2 linked regions of the Anolis sagrei genome follow. The protein of the gene in region 1 binds, or shares a complex with, the protein of each later gene. Links are inferred from orthologs where the notes say so. Each region holds a gene or a part of one and is shown in the gene's direction. Other genes may lie near its edges.

Region 1 (7,094 bases):
GATTATTAGAGAAGGTCTCAGGTGGCCAGACTGGAATAATAAAGTTATTGTATAAGGGAGATATCACAGCAGGGTATGTTTGTAGGTCATGGTCTCATTTTACTACTGCCTGGGAAACTATCCAAAACCTGCTGTTGAGAGGACTGTGGCAACTATTGTAGAGAAAGTTCTTTCCTTATGGTGTGGAGTTCAACAAGAGTTTGCGTTGCTCTTCGGCCTTTTCTTTTGTCAAAGCCACAAAGTATCAAGACCTTGTCCAAAACGGGAAATGGAACAACATGGATCAATTGTAAGATTTTACAAGGACACTTAACCATACGTAACGTGGGCTGGAAGATTATGATAAGAGGAAGCTTTTATGCAGGCTAATGATGCTCTCTTGGTCCTCTCTATTGGTCTTTTCCCTTTGTCTTTCTTTTTTAAATGTGACAAGATTTGGAGCAAAAGGCATTACAGCATCATTCATTGCAGCCTGTTTGAAAAAGATAACTAATAAAGCTACTTATCTTACATGGTTATCTGTAATGTAGAAGCCACATACAGTTAAATCTGCTGTTATCTTCAGGCCAAGATGGTTAAAAAAATCAAGTGGGGAAAGTAAAGTGACAGACCTAATTTTAACGAAGGGTGCTTTGCATTTTTAAATGGGGAAACAGGCTTTAGTACTTTTTTCTTTTTGTCCCTATCAGTTTCATGGCAATGGTGAATGGAATTGAATGTTATAGTCCTTTGAACACCTCAAGGCAGAATACAGATACTTGCTAGCATTGTGAGTTCTCAACTGGAGTTTTGCAGCATTTTAAAAAAACAGTCATGTTGTAGAACTCCGTCATTCAGGTAGTCTGCATTCAACTGCTGGTCTAGTTGATTTATGTTGGAATTGAAGAGAGGAGTCATCTTGACCTTCAGACAAAAAAATGTCTTAAGCTGGCACTGATTAAACCTTAGGTTGCCTTCTGTATTTCTGATGCCAGACACTGATTCATAATTTGGAACAGTTTCTCTTGGTTTGAATGTTGAGTGCATATTGGCTACTCTGAATTCACTCATGGTTTTATGTCAAACCTAAGCACCATATTATTACCCATTGGATCCACATTCCCAGTTCAGTATTTTCTGATGCTTTGGACTTTTTAACTCCCATCAGCTCCACCAAGAATGGTCGAGAATTGGGCAAAAATCATGGGAGATGTCCAACACATCTGGGTGTCACCAAGTTGGAGAAAACTGATGAGGATATTAAACAGAAAGAATAGAAGCAGCTGTAACAGGCATGGGCAAACTTCGGTCCTCCAGGTGTTTTGGGGGCTGAAGTTTGCCCATGCCCAAGCTATAAGATACTGGCTCTTAGCTCATCAGTCCACAAAGGTAAGGTACTCAGGCTGATGGATAAGGCAAGCCAGAGAGAAGCTTGTGCTACCACTCACAAGCAGAGAAATAATGTTGCTTTCCTAAGGCCCTTCCACACTGTTCCTATATCCCAGGGTCTGATTCTGGCAGTGGAGACTCGTGTAATCCAGTAATCCCTGAAGTGTATCAGAAGCAGATCTGGATTGCATCTAGATTGGACAGGGTACACTCCAAGGCACAGGATACATGAGTTCCCAGTAGTTTGTACTGTGAGGCCACAGCTGCTTTTGGGACAATTCACAGTTGTTTTGTCTCTCCTAATCTGGGGTGTGGGATTCCTGTTGTTTTGCAGTAGGGTTCCTAAAACAGCATTTAAAAGTTCACTAGTCACAGTGTGTTTCAACCACATCCATTGGAAGAAAGAAGATGTCAGATTGTGTGCCTGTATGGGAGTCTGGGAGTCACACTGGATCCCACTCCTTTGGCTGCATAACTCACATTGATCCAGCGGATTGCTGTTATCTGTGAGGATTGCAAAGTAATGTGGCTGTTTCAAGGATATGTTTACAATGTCTCACTATCGCCTCTTGTAGGCATGTGATTTCTCCTTCTGCTTTCCTAGTTGCGGAGGATGTCTCATAAAAGTCAAGCCGGTGACATTTACTACATTCCACTCTGTACAGAATCCCTGGCTTGCAAGCGGGTAAACATGACGACACCCTCTCAAATCAGTCATGGAAACTGTTTACGTAACGGGCTCAAAAGTCTGCTGCATGTACAACCTGAGCTGTGAAGTATATAAATGTGTACCTTTCTTACACCCCTGCATAACACTAATAGGGGTTGAGCATCCCTTGGGACCAGAAATGTTTAAGGTTTCAGAACAATGTACATAATGAGAATCTTAGGGACTAAACATGAAATACATTTATGTTTCATATACATCTACATATAAAGGTAAAGATTTCCCCTTGACATTAAGTCTAGTTGTGTCTGACTCTGGAGGTTGGTGCTCATCTCCATTTCTAAGCCAAAGAGCTGCCGTTGTTTGTAGACACCTCCAAGATCATGTGGCCAGCATGATGGCATGGAGCACTGTTACCTTCCCGGAGAAGTGGTACCTATTGATCTACTTACACTTGTATATTTTCGAATTGCTAAAATGGCTGATGCTGGGGTTAACAGTGGGAACTTGCCCCGCATCCCGGATTCAAACCGCCGATCTTTTGGCCAGCAAGTGGTTTAATCCGCTGCACCACCAGAGGTCTAGATATAGCTAGGGGTTATTTTATATTTTATTTTAAATCATTTTGTTTAGAAAGCAAAGGTGCTCACTCTCTTACTATCTGTGGGGACAATTTGAGAGTACTGTATATACTCAAGTATAAGCCTAGTTTTTCAGCCCCTTTTTTAGGCTGAAAAAGCCCCTCTCGGCTTATATTTGAGTCAAGGTTATTTATTATTTTACTCTTATTATTATTACATTTACACATAATATTGATAATAATATTTAATATTAATATTATTTTATTATTGCATTTATTATTTTACTCTATTATTATTGGAAGGATACGTAAACACATGTACATTGAAGGTTAGAATAATGGTTTTTGTCAGAGTTGGACAGTCTTACCTTCCAGTTTTATGTAAATATTAATAAACATTTAACCTACTGATGCTTCAATTAATATAATTTTATTGGTATCTATTTTTATTTTGAAATTGACCAGTAGCTGCTGCATGTCCCACCCTCGGCTTATACTCGAATCAATACGTTTTCCCGGTTTTTAGTGGTAAAATTAGGTGCCTCGGCTTATATTCGGGTCGGCTTATGCTTGAGTATATACAGTATTTCGGATCTCCAGATAAAGCAGGCCTGGGCAAACTTGGACCCTTCGGGTGTTTTGGACTCCCGCAATTCCTAACAGCCTCGGGTCCTTTCCTTTCCCCACCTTAGCTGCTTAAGCAGCTGAAGGTGAAAAGTAAGCATCCTGAGGCTGTTAGGAATTGCAGGAATTGAAGTCCAAAACACCTGGAGGGCCCAAGTTTGCACAGCTGAGAGGGAAAAGGAAGGGTCTGAGTCTGTTAGGGATTGCGGGAATTGAAGTCCAAAACACCTGGAGGGCCCATGTTTCCCTGGCTAGAGAGGAAAAGGAAAGGGCTTGAGGTTGTTAGGGATGGCGGGAGTTTAAGTCCACGTTTGTCAGGCTGAGGGGGGAAAGGAAGGGCCTGAGGCTGTTCGGGATTGTGGGAGTTGAAGTCCAAAACTCCTGGAGGGCCCATGTTTCCCTGGCTAGGGAGGAAAAGGAAAGGGCTTGAGGTTGTTAGGGATGGCGGGAGTTGAAGTCCACGTTTGTCAGGCTGAGGGGGAAAAGGAAGGGCCTGAGGCTGTTAGGGATTGCGGGAGTTGAAGTCCAAAACACCTGGAGGGCCCAAGTTTGCCCAGGCCTGAGATAAAAGGGTTGTTGTCCTGTAGTAACAAACAAAGGCAGATCTTCCATATAAACAAGGCCTCTCTGTGGGAGAGCCAGATGGTTCCACCAGAAAGTTGTCAATCCCCACGTCAGGCCCAGATCCCCACTCCTCCTCCTCTGAAGAAGAAGAGCAGAGATCCCATTCCTGGCCCCTTTGTGCGTAGTGTGCATAGAAGAGAAAATGCGGTGGCATTTATTTAAAACAGTGGGAGGAGAGATGTCATGTTAGAAGCGGCGTTGACAAGTGCGTGGGCTTTACACTTTCCAGAGCGCTTTTCCTCATGGTTTTGCCCCCCACCTCCCCTCCGCTTCTATTCTGAGCGTGGAAGCGCCATTTTTTAAACCAGGCACAACGTTCAAAGCGAGCCAAGGCGTGTAGTTGTCTTTTTTATTCCTGTCAGTGGCGAGACTAAATTGTGGGTCTGGAGGTGACCTTGGAAATGGATGATTCTGGGAGACTGAGGTGTTGAGAGAGAGAGAGGAGGGGGAGCCTGGGCCGGAAAGTGGCGGGAGGGGAGTTGGGCCGTGGCGCCCGCCCGTAGTGAGTTACTCGTTGGCTTGGAGGGAGCAGCATGGGAGCTGGAGGCGCTCAATCCGTCGGCTGACTCCAGGATCCAGGGACCGGGAAGGCGCGAAAGGAGAGCCAGGCCTTGGCTGGACACAACGTGCTTAATGTGAGAGGGACTGGGCCCTCCTGGCAGGGCTTGAGGCGCGGAAAGACAGAAGGAAGGGAGGGAGGGAGAGCGAGCGGGAAAGGAAGGAAGGACGGAGTCATGGAGGAGAAGAGGCCCGGGCGCCGTAGTAGCCGCCGCCGCCGCTCCCGGGAGCGCTCCCCGAGCCCGGCCCGCTTGGACGTGGCCTCCCCGCGCTTCGACCCGCTCCTGGCGCTCTATTCTCCGCGGACGCCGCTGCCCTTCCCGGCCGCGCCCTGCTTCAACAACCTAGCCGAGTACGAGAGCTTCCAGCGCGGCCGGGGCCCGCAGGCCGGAGAAGCCGGGCGCAGCAGTAGCCGCAGCAGCCGCCGCCGGAAGGGCCGAGCCGGGCGGGCCGCCTCCGCCCCTCCAGACCCCGCGCGGATCCAGCGGCTCCGGAGCCTCATGGTGGTGGAGCAGGCCGCGCCCGAGGAGGCCGGGAGGAGCCGGGCCCGGGGCAAGAAGGCGCCGCGGAACGTCCTCACCCGGATGCCCCGTAAGGCGCCATCAAGCGGGCAGGCAGGGAAGGAGAGAGGGAAGGAGGCCCGCCTCGAGGGAGAGGAAAGGCGGCGGGCAGGATTCGCCCCTGGCCTTGGGGTGTCCCTCACTCGGGATGCTTGCCATACAAAGTCTCCAAAGCCGCCCTACAGAGGGAGAATGGGAGCTAAATCAGGCATGGGCCAATTTGGGCCTTCCTCCAGGTGTTTTGGACTTCAACTCCCACAATTCCTAACAGCCGGTAGGCTTTTAGGAATTGTAGGAGTTGAAGTCCAAAACACCTGGAGGAAGGCCCAAGTTTGCCCATGCCTGAATTAAATGTACCTTCATTTACTTCATTTACAAAATATTCATTACAAACTATTTTTATTCGCTGTATATCTAAAAGTATACAAATATACAGCCATCTAAAATATATAATATAACACATAATGTGAGTTTGTCATTTTTTCCCTATGTATTTAGTGCCACAGCAGGTTAAACCCCTGAGCTGCTGAAATTGCTGACTGAAAGGTTGGTGGCTGAAGTCCAGGGAGTGGGGTGAGCTCCCGCTGTTAGGCCCAGCTTCTGCCAACCTAGCAGTTCGAAAACATGCAAATGTCAGTAGATCAATAGGTACCACTTTTGCGTAAAGGTTACAGCGCTCCATGCAGTCATGCCAGTCACATGACCTTGGAGGTGTCTATGGACAACACCAGCTCTTTGGCTTAGAAATGGAAATGAGCATTACCCCCCAGAGTCAGTGTCTAGACCAGTGGTTCTCAACCTGGGGTCCCCAGATGTTTTTGGCCTACAACTCCCAGAAATCCCAGCCAGTTTACCAGCTGTTAGGATTTCTGGGAGTTGAAGGCCAAAAACATCTGGGGACCCCAGGTTGAGAACCACTGGTCTAGACTGAGTGTCAGGGGAAACTTGTACCTTTACCTTTTATGTAGACTTTTGTGACAACCTGTACTTTTGATGTGTTGTTATTATTATTATTATTATTATTGATACGTCTTGGGGGATGGGACCATTTTAAAACTGGAATTCATTTGTGTTTCATTTACAGCTGAAACACATTGAAAGGAATTTTATACAGAATACAGGTTGAGCATCCTTTGCATCCTTGGATGGTGTGTTCCTTCATGGCAGAATAGGAATGGGCTGGATGGACCTTGCAGTCTCTTCCAACTCATAATTCTATGATTGATCCTTGGGGCTAGAAGTATTTTGGAGATATTATTATTATTATTATTATTATTATTATTATTATGGAGACATTTTAGGAAACATCTAATCTCTGACCATTTAATACACTTTAATACACAAACCAGCATTGAAGAAAGTGGTTCGCTGTACAGATTATTATATAGGAAATCCTGGAATCAGTCTGATGGTTGCGCAAACCACAGAGCACTGATGCGCATTAAGGACTTTCAGGTCATACATGCAGCAAACGTTCGTTGTCTGGCCACCCCAGCATCCAGCTGCATGAAATGGTCAGTGTAGATGGAGCTTTTGAGATGGGACCAAAGTCTAAACAAGATATTCATTTGTGTTTCTTATGCACCTAAGATGCCTAGCTGGAAATTAAATTTAGACAGAATACAAACTGAGCATCAAAGTATGCAGAAATCCTAAATTATCCAAATGGGTGAATAAGGGCGGTTCTATACAGCGACTTAAACCAAGTTAGGAAGTGAATGAAAGAGAACCAGTCTCTGGTGGAACAACTAAATGGTTGCCCCAGGAACTGGTTAGAGACTGGGATGGTGGCCACACTATCCACTGACTGCGAAACAGGAGCAAACCCAGAAACTACAGTATCAGTGACTAGATGCGCATATCCATGTCTGTTAGGAATCATCCCAGTTTTGAGCCCTACATGGGATATACTCTGGTCAACTGCACCAGATTTTCTGATTTAATCCGATATTTCTGGTGAGTTTTTTAACACACTTCTTCAGACTTAATGTGTGCTTACAGCATACACTGGGGTTGTATGTTATGTGGATACCCCAATCTCAAGACAGCTTCAATGCTTAATAATAATGCTTGTGTGGAATTGTCTTAAGATAGTGATATATTTGTTTTCTGA
Region 2 (7,674 bases), on another chromosome or scaffold:
CAGTGTCATGGGTTTTTAGTTTATCTTTTCTATTACCATTTCTTCACTCAAAAGCAATTTGGAAAATAAGTATTCTTTATATTGAAGGTATCACACTGGCAACGAAGATCCGCATAGTTAAAGCAATGGTATTCCCTGTAGCAACCTATGGATGCGAGAGCTGGACCATAAGGATGGCTGAGCGAAGGAAGATAGACAATTTTGAACTGTGGTGCTAGAGAAAAATTCTGAAAGTGCCTTGGTCCGCAAGAAGATCCAACCAGTCCATACTCCAGGAAATAAAGCCCGACTGCTCACTGGAGGGAAGGATATTAGAGGCAAAGTTGAAGTACTTTGGCTACATAATGAGAAAACAGGAAAGCTTAGAGAAGACAAAATTCTGGGGGAAATGGAAGGAAAAAGGCAGCGGGGCCGACCAAGGACAAGATGGATCGATGGTACCCTTGAAGTGACTGCCTTGACCTTGAAGGAGCTGGGAGTGGCCATGGCTTACAGGGAGCTCCAGCATGGGCTGGTTCATGAGGTCACGAAGAGTCGGAAGCAACTGAACGAATAAACAACAAAATATTGAATGTGGAAGATTTTCTCAAGTATCCCATCTGCAAAGAGCCAAAGTGGCTTTTTGCATAAGTCAATCTGAGACTGAATTACACTCCCATTACCAATACATTGGTGGCACATAAAGCATTAAACGGTGATACAGTCCACTTGGGAGGAACATGAGCCACTTATAACACTAAGTAACATTCTTTTTGATCCTGGGTTATACATGTCATTTACTAATTGGGTGTATCAAAAACATGGAAAAATGGATTAAACTGCAAAAACTTTGTTTTTGCTGGGCATCCTGTAGCACATTTTGCTATAGTTTTTCAATGAATATCTCATCGATTCTCAACCAATTCAACAAAGTTTGCAGCAGCCACAAAAACAAAGCTTCTGGAGTAGAACAATGAACTTCCAAAATAAGGACTGCACAATTAAACAGAAAATAACACTTTCAGGAACTGATTTTTTTTTCAAATTTTGTTAGTGTACTGAATTCCAATGCCTTGATGAATCTATGTATGTGGTTCCAGAGATGCAAGGTGTAACAGACTGGCCTACCTTAAAGGGTTGATGTAAAAGGCAGAAATCAGGCCCGGGTTGCTAAGGCTAAGAAGAGCTGAGGGGAGGAGCAAACAGGCAGCCTCATGGCCAGGAGTGCAGTCTGGTTGATGTAGTTGGAGGGAAAAGCTCAGCAACTGGAGATGGGTGGAGCCAGAAAGGGGGCGAAAAAGCTGAGGCAGCCATTTTAGATCAGGAGTATGGTGAGGAAGAAGACAGAAGTTTTGAAAGGGAAAGGAAGGAAGATTTTGCAAACTGTTTGTGGTTTAAATATATCTTTGAAGATAATAGTTAATAGGCCTCTATAGTGTTTAGAGTGCTGGGGAGGAAGGGAGAGTCAAAAGGTTTTAAAGATCCTGTTTGAATTTCTGTGTGTGGAACTTTGTTTTAAGAAACTAAAGATAAAAGTACCATCCTCTGTAAGAAGTAAAGCCTGATAAGTTATTTGAAACCCTTATGCATATTGACTGTTCAAAATAAACAACATATTCCTGTTTCATTTTCACTGAAGTCTTCATGTGGCTTTTTGAACATTCCAGTTGAAGGAAGTGGCCTATTAAAATAGTAAATTGGTGGCAGCAATAGACACCTTTAATAAATAATAGGAGGCAGCAAAGGCAAAATATAGAATACAGTGGTAGCTTCCCACTGTCTGGCCTTGTGTGTCTGTGCTCTGAGTCCCTCACGGCCTTGCCTTGGGCCAGACCTTGTTGTTTGTCCTTTGCCCTCTATCTTGTGTGTGGTCTGCCTGTTGCAAATTCTGCCTTCCGACCTTCCATCTTTGTTGCTGTTTTGTTGCACAAGGTCACAGGGGAAATGGCCACTTTTCCATGGATCAGGGACTCCTTTTCCAGATGGGAGACAGGCAATATTCTATATTTTGCATGTAAAATGTTTTTGCTTCTCATCCTCAGCCATAAAGGCTCCTGTAGCCACTGGCTTACAGTCATTAAATATATAGCACCAGCTTCTTTTTTCAACCAGGATGCAAAGTGCATGGGGACCCAATGGTATGTTTGTGTGTATTTGTAAAAATACACCTATTATTGGCACCCAATAAAATTAGAGAAATGGGAAAAAATCTGGAACCAGAAGATTAAATACACATATGCGTACGAATTAAGAGAAAATTGGCTTAAAATTATTCATAGGTGATACATCACCCCCCACAAAATCTCTAAATGTTACAAAAATGCCTCAGACAAATGTTGGAAACGAGAACCTTTTCCACATCTGGTGGACTTGTCCTGAAGTAAGAAAGTATTGGACTGACATCCATTTGAAAATACAAAAAATAATGGATACGAAGCTTGAAAAGAAACCAGAATATTTTTTGCTGGGAATGTTAGAAATAGCGGAAGACAAAGATAAAGAAATTTTATTCAGTTATTTAGTGATTGCAGCGAGAATAGTGTTTGCGAAGACTTGGAGGAGGAAAGAAATCCCAAAAAGAGAGGACTGGCAAAAGAAAATTGTAGAGGTAATGAACATGGACCAACTAACATATTGGATTTCGCGAAACCAAGGCCTTCCGAAGAAGCAAGCAAATTGGGACCTGGTAAAGAACTACTTTAAGCAACTGAAGATCAATTTGATTATTTGAAATATGATACTCACAAGATGTCACATGAGACATGGGGAAGTAAAAAATAATTTCCTGCCATATCAATAGCTAAACTATCAACCACCGATGAATAGAAGGAAGTCAACCTGTTTTTTGGGAGTTTTTTTCCTTTCATTTCCTACTTTCCTATCCGGATATTGTTCCCACACTTTCAATGTACCGATCTCTTTCTATAGTTAAAGATACAACAAAAAAAACTTTAAATAGAAAGATGTTTTATCCCTTACCTTTTCTTTATTGCCTACTCCCCTCCCCTCTCCTTTTTTTTTTTGATGTTGTTTACCTTTCTTATAATTTATTTATTTATTTATTTATTTGTTTATCATGTCAGGAGCAACCAGACAGTTGTATTACATTTTTAACAAAACAAACAAACAAAACAAAACACAAAATTTGCAAGCTTGGTAGCTGATTAAATGTCCTTTGACCAGTATCTGGCCACTTGGAGTGCCTCTGGTGTTGCTGCAAGAAGGTCCTCCCTTGTGCATATAGCAGGGCTCAGGCTGCATTGCAGCAGATGGTCAGTGGTTTGCTCTTCTCCACACTCGCATGTCGTGGATTCCACTTTGTAGCCCCATTTCTTAAAATTGGCTCTGCATCTCGTGGTGCCAGAGCGCAGTCTGTTCAGCGCCTTCCAAGTCGCCTAGTCTTCTGTGTGCCCAGGGGGGAGTCTCTCATTTGGTATCAGCCATTGGTTGAGGTTCTGGGTTTGAGCCTGCCACTTTTGGACTCTTGCTTGCTGAGGTGTTCCAGCAAGTGTCTCTGTAGATCTTCGAAAACTATTTATTGATTTAAGTCATTGGCGTACTAGCTGATGCCCAAACAAGGGATGGGCTGGAGATGTCACGGCCTTGGTCCTTTCACTATTGGCTGCTACTTCCCAGCGGATGTCGGATGGTGCAATACCGGCTAAGCAGTGTAATTTCTCCAGTGGTGTAGGGCACAGACACCCCATGATGATGCGGCATGTATCATTAAGAGCCACATCTACTGTTTTAGTGTGGTGATGTGTGTTCCACACTGGGCATGCATACTCAGCAGCAGAGTAGCATAGCGCAAGTGCAGATGTCTTTGCTGTGTCTGGTTGTGATCCCCAGGTTGTGCCAGCTTTCGTATGATGTTGTTTCTAGCGCCCACTTTTTGCTTGATGTTCAGGCAGTGCTTCTTGTAGGTCAGAGCACGGTCCAAAGTGACTCCCAGGTATTTGGGTGCGTTGCAATGCTCCAGTGGGATTGCTTCCCAGTTAATCCTCAGAGCTCGGGATGCTTGTCTGTTGTTATGGTGAAAGGCGCATGTCTGTGTTTTAAATGGATTAGGGATCAGTTGGTTTTCCCTGTAATAGGCAGTAAGAGCACCTAGAGATTCAAAGAGCTTCTTTTCAACCATCTCAAAGCTCCCTGCTTGAGTGGTAATGGCACGATCATCAGCATAGATGAAACTCTCTGTCCCTTCTGGCAGTGGCTGGTCATTTGTGTAGATGTTGAACATGGATGGAGCGAGCACGCTCCCCTGAGGCAGGCCGTTCTTCTGTTTCCGCCATCTGCTTCTCTGGCCCTGGAACTCAACAAAGAAGCTCCTGTTTTGTAGCAGGTTTCCTATGAGGCGGGTGAGGTGGTAGTCCTTTGTGATATTATACATTTTTCTCAGGAGGAGGCGGTGGTTCACAGTATCATAGGCTGCTGACAAGCCTAAGACAACAAGTCGAAGACAACAGCAAAGTGGGGAAGGAGTTGTGGCTTCGAACATTACCTACTTCCAATCCTGGAAGCGGGGGGGGGGGGGAAGCAGCGAGCCAATCAAATGCCATCTTTCCGTGTCCGAGGACCGCCTTCCGGGCCAATGGAGTTGCTTCTCTGTTCCATCGGGGCGGGGGCAAGTCCAGGCGAATGGGAAAACGAGGCGCTCTGATCTAGCTCCGCCCACTTCAGAGCCTCTGAGTCGGGAATCTCCTATTACGCATGCGCTTTTTGGTGGTCTTTTCTGCTTTGCACGAGGAAGCAGGAAATCCTGGCCAGGTAGGCGATGGATTGCATGTCCCATTATCCCTCCCAGCGGCTGTGCTTTGGGTTTCTGTTGTTAGTTTGGCAGTAGCGTAGACCCATTGAATCCCATGGATTTACACCAATGTAGAGCTATTAAGCAGTTGCATTAGGCATAATTGAGCTATGCGTTTGGGACTAATAGGTTGCAGAAAAGCTTCCTGCTCTTTTTAAGGGTGGGGCTTAATGGAACCCAATCAAAAGTTTGGAAAAGTTACTTTTGACAGGAACTACAACTCCCAGAATTGTACCAATATTTTCCATTGTGTTCAAGACCAGGGCTTTGAATCATAGAATCATAGAATCAAAGAGTTGGAAGAGACCTCATGGGCCATCCAGTCCAACCCCATTCTGCCAAGAAGCAGGAATATTGCATTCAAATCACCCCTGACGGATGGCCATCCAGCCTCTGTTTAAAAGCTTCCAAAGAAGGAGCCTCCACCACGCTCCGGGGCAGAGAGTTCCACTGCTGAACGGCTCTCACAGTCAGGAAGTTCTTCCTCGTGTTCAGATGGAATCTCCTCTCTTGTAGTTTGAAGCCATTGTTCCTTGTCCTAATCTCCATGGAAGCAGAAAACAAGCTTGCTCCCTCCTCCCTGTGGCTTCCTCTCACATATTTATTCATGGCTATCATATCTCCTCTCAGCCTTCTCTTCTTCAGGCTAAACATGCCCAGCTCCTTAAGCCACTCCTCATAGGGCTTGTTCTCCAGACCTTTTATCATTTTAGTCGCTCTCCTCTGGACACATTCCAGCTTGTCAATATCTTTCTTGAATTGTGGTGCCCAGAATTGGTAATAAGAGGATGGATTCTGGGAGTTGCAGTCCTCCCAGTTCTTCCCAGGGGGCGTCTACAAATCCTGGGAGGCGCTGTCCTCTCAGCGAAGCCTCAAGACTTTTAAAACTACAACTCCCAGGATTCCATAACATTGAGTCAGTTAGTCATTCTACTGTTTCTCAGCTTGGGGGTTGGGACCCCAGACGGGGTCATGAGGGGGTGTCAAAGGGGTCTCAAAAGACCGTCAGAAAACACAGTATTTTCTGTTGGTCATGTGGATTCAGTGTGGGAAATTTGACCCAATTCTATTGTTGGTCGATTGTAGGTGAACTATACATCCCAGCAAATGTCAACGTCTATTTTCCCCAGACTCCACCAGTGTTCATATTTAGACATGTTGAGTAGTCGTGCCAAGTTTGGTCCAGATCTATCATTATGTGAATCCACAGTGCTCCTCTGGATATAGGTGAACTACAACTCCCAATCTCAAGGTCAGTGCCCACCAAACCCTTCCAGTGTTTTCTGTTGGTCATGGGATCTCTGTGTGCCAAGTTCAGCTCAAATCCATTGCTGGTGGAGTTCAGAATGCTCTTTGATTATAAGTGAACTATAAATCCCAGCAACTACAACTCCCAAATTACAAAATCAATTCTCCCCCAACCCCACTAGCATTCACATTTGGTAGTGTTGGGTATTTGTGCTCAATTTGGTCCAGTGAATGAAAATACATCCTGCATATCGGATATTTACGACTTATAACAGTAGTAAAATGACAGATATCAAGTAGCAACAGAAACAATATTATGGTAGGGGGTCACCATAACATGAGGAACTGTATTAAGGGGTCACGGCATTAGGAAGGTTGAGAACCACTGTTCTACTGTATAGAGTAAAGCAAGCATGGGCAAACTTCGGCCCTCCTGGTGTTTTGGACTCCAACTCCCACAATTCCTAACAGCCGGTAGGCTGTTAGGAATTGTGGGAGTTGGAATCCAAAACACCTGGAGGGTCGAAGTTTGCCCATGGCTGGACTAGAGGCACCCATAGTTCAAATACATAGATAAAACAAAAAGACCATTCAAACACATATTAGAAGGCAGAATTCCACAACACGAAGCCATGGTCATTAAAGCGGTATAAAACTGCATTCAAATGCACAAATGAGGCAGTGAGACCATTCAAACACATATATTAAAAGATGTGGGGTTGCATCTGAACTGCAGGATTCCATAACATAAAGCCATGGTCATTAAAGTGGTACAGAACTGCATTCAAATGCACAGATAAAGCCATGAGCCCATCCAAACACATATTAAAAGGCTTGGGGTTGCATCTACTGTAGGATTCCATAGCACTGAGTCATGGTCATGGTAGAAATGTACAACATGCATTAAAAATTGGCATTTCTGCATTAAAATGCACAGAGAAAGCCGTGTGACTATTCAAAGATATATATTAAAAGGTGTGGGGTGCATATTCTACACTGTAGAATTCCATAGCACCTTTTTTTCATATCAGGAGCAACTTGAGAAACTGCAAGTTGCTTCTGGTGTGGTAGAATTGGCCGCCTGCAAGCAAGGACGTTGCCCAGGGGACGCCTGGATGTTTTACCATCCTGTGGGAGGCTTCTTTCATGTCCCTGCATGGGGAGCTGGAGCTGACAGATGGGAGCTCACCCCACTCACCGGATTTGAACCGCCAACCTTTCGGTCAGCAGGCCTGCCGGCACAAGGGTTTAACCCATTGTGCCAACGGCGACTCCTTCCATAGCTCTGGGCCATGATCATTAAAGTGGTATATAACTATATTGAAATCCATAAATAAAACCATGAGATCATTCAAACACATATATTAAAAAGTGTGGGGTGCATATTCTACACTGTAGAATTCCATAGCACCTTTTTTTCCATGTCAGGAGCGACTAGAGAAACTGCAAGTTGCTCCTGGTGTGAGAGAATTGGCCGCCTGCAAGAAAGGACGTTGCCCAGGGGACGCCTGGATGTTTTACCATCCTGTGGGAGGCTTCTTTCATGTCCCTGCATGGGGAGCTGGAGCTGACAGATGGGAGCTCACCCCACTCACCGGATTTGAACCGCCAACCTTTCGGTCAGCAGGCCTGCCGGCACA

Evidence for each region. The genes of interacting proteins can lie anywhere in the genome.
Region 2: LSM11 (region 1) and LSM10 share a complex: the UniProt entries of both Homo sapiens proteins name them as parts of the heptameric ring U7 snRNP complex. The link is inferred for Anolis sagrei from reciprocal best matches to the Homo sapiens genes LSM11 and LSM10.

The regions. Positions count from the first base shown.
Region 1 is NC_090022.1:80,301,483-80,308,576, reverse strand, and holds the start of LSM11 (U7 snRNA-associated Sm-like protein LSm11), read left to right. Parts: upstream 1-4,083; 5' UTR 4,084-4,597; coding exon 4,598-5,012; intron 5,013-7,094. UniProt on the Homo sapiens protein: Component of the U7 snRNP complex that is involved in the histone 3'-end pre-mRNA processing. Increases U7 snRNA levels but not histone 3'-end pre-mRNA processing activity, when overexpressed. Required for cell cycle progression from G1 to S phases.
Region 2 is NC_090034.1:85,136,407-85,144,080, reverse strand, and holds the start of LSM10 (U7 snRNA-associated Sm-like protein LSm10), read left to right. Parts: upstream 1-4,659; 5' UTR 4,660-4,746; intron 4,747-5,872; exon of another isoform or gene 5,873-5,916; 5' UTR 5,917-6,038; intron 6,039-7,674. UniProt on the Homo sapiens protein: Appears to function in the U7 snRNP complex that is involved in histone 3'-end processing. Increases U7 snRNA levels but not histone 3'-end pre-mRNA processing activity, when overexpressed. Required for cell cycle progression from G1 to S phases.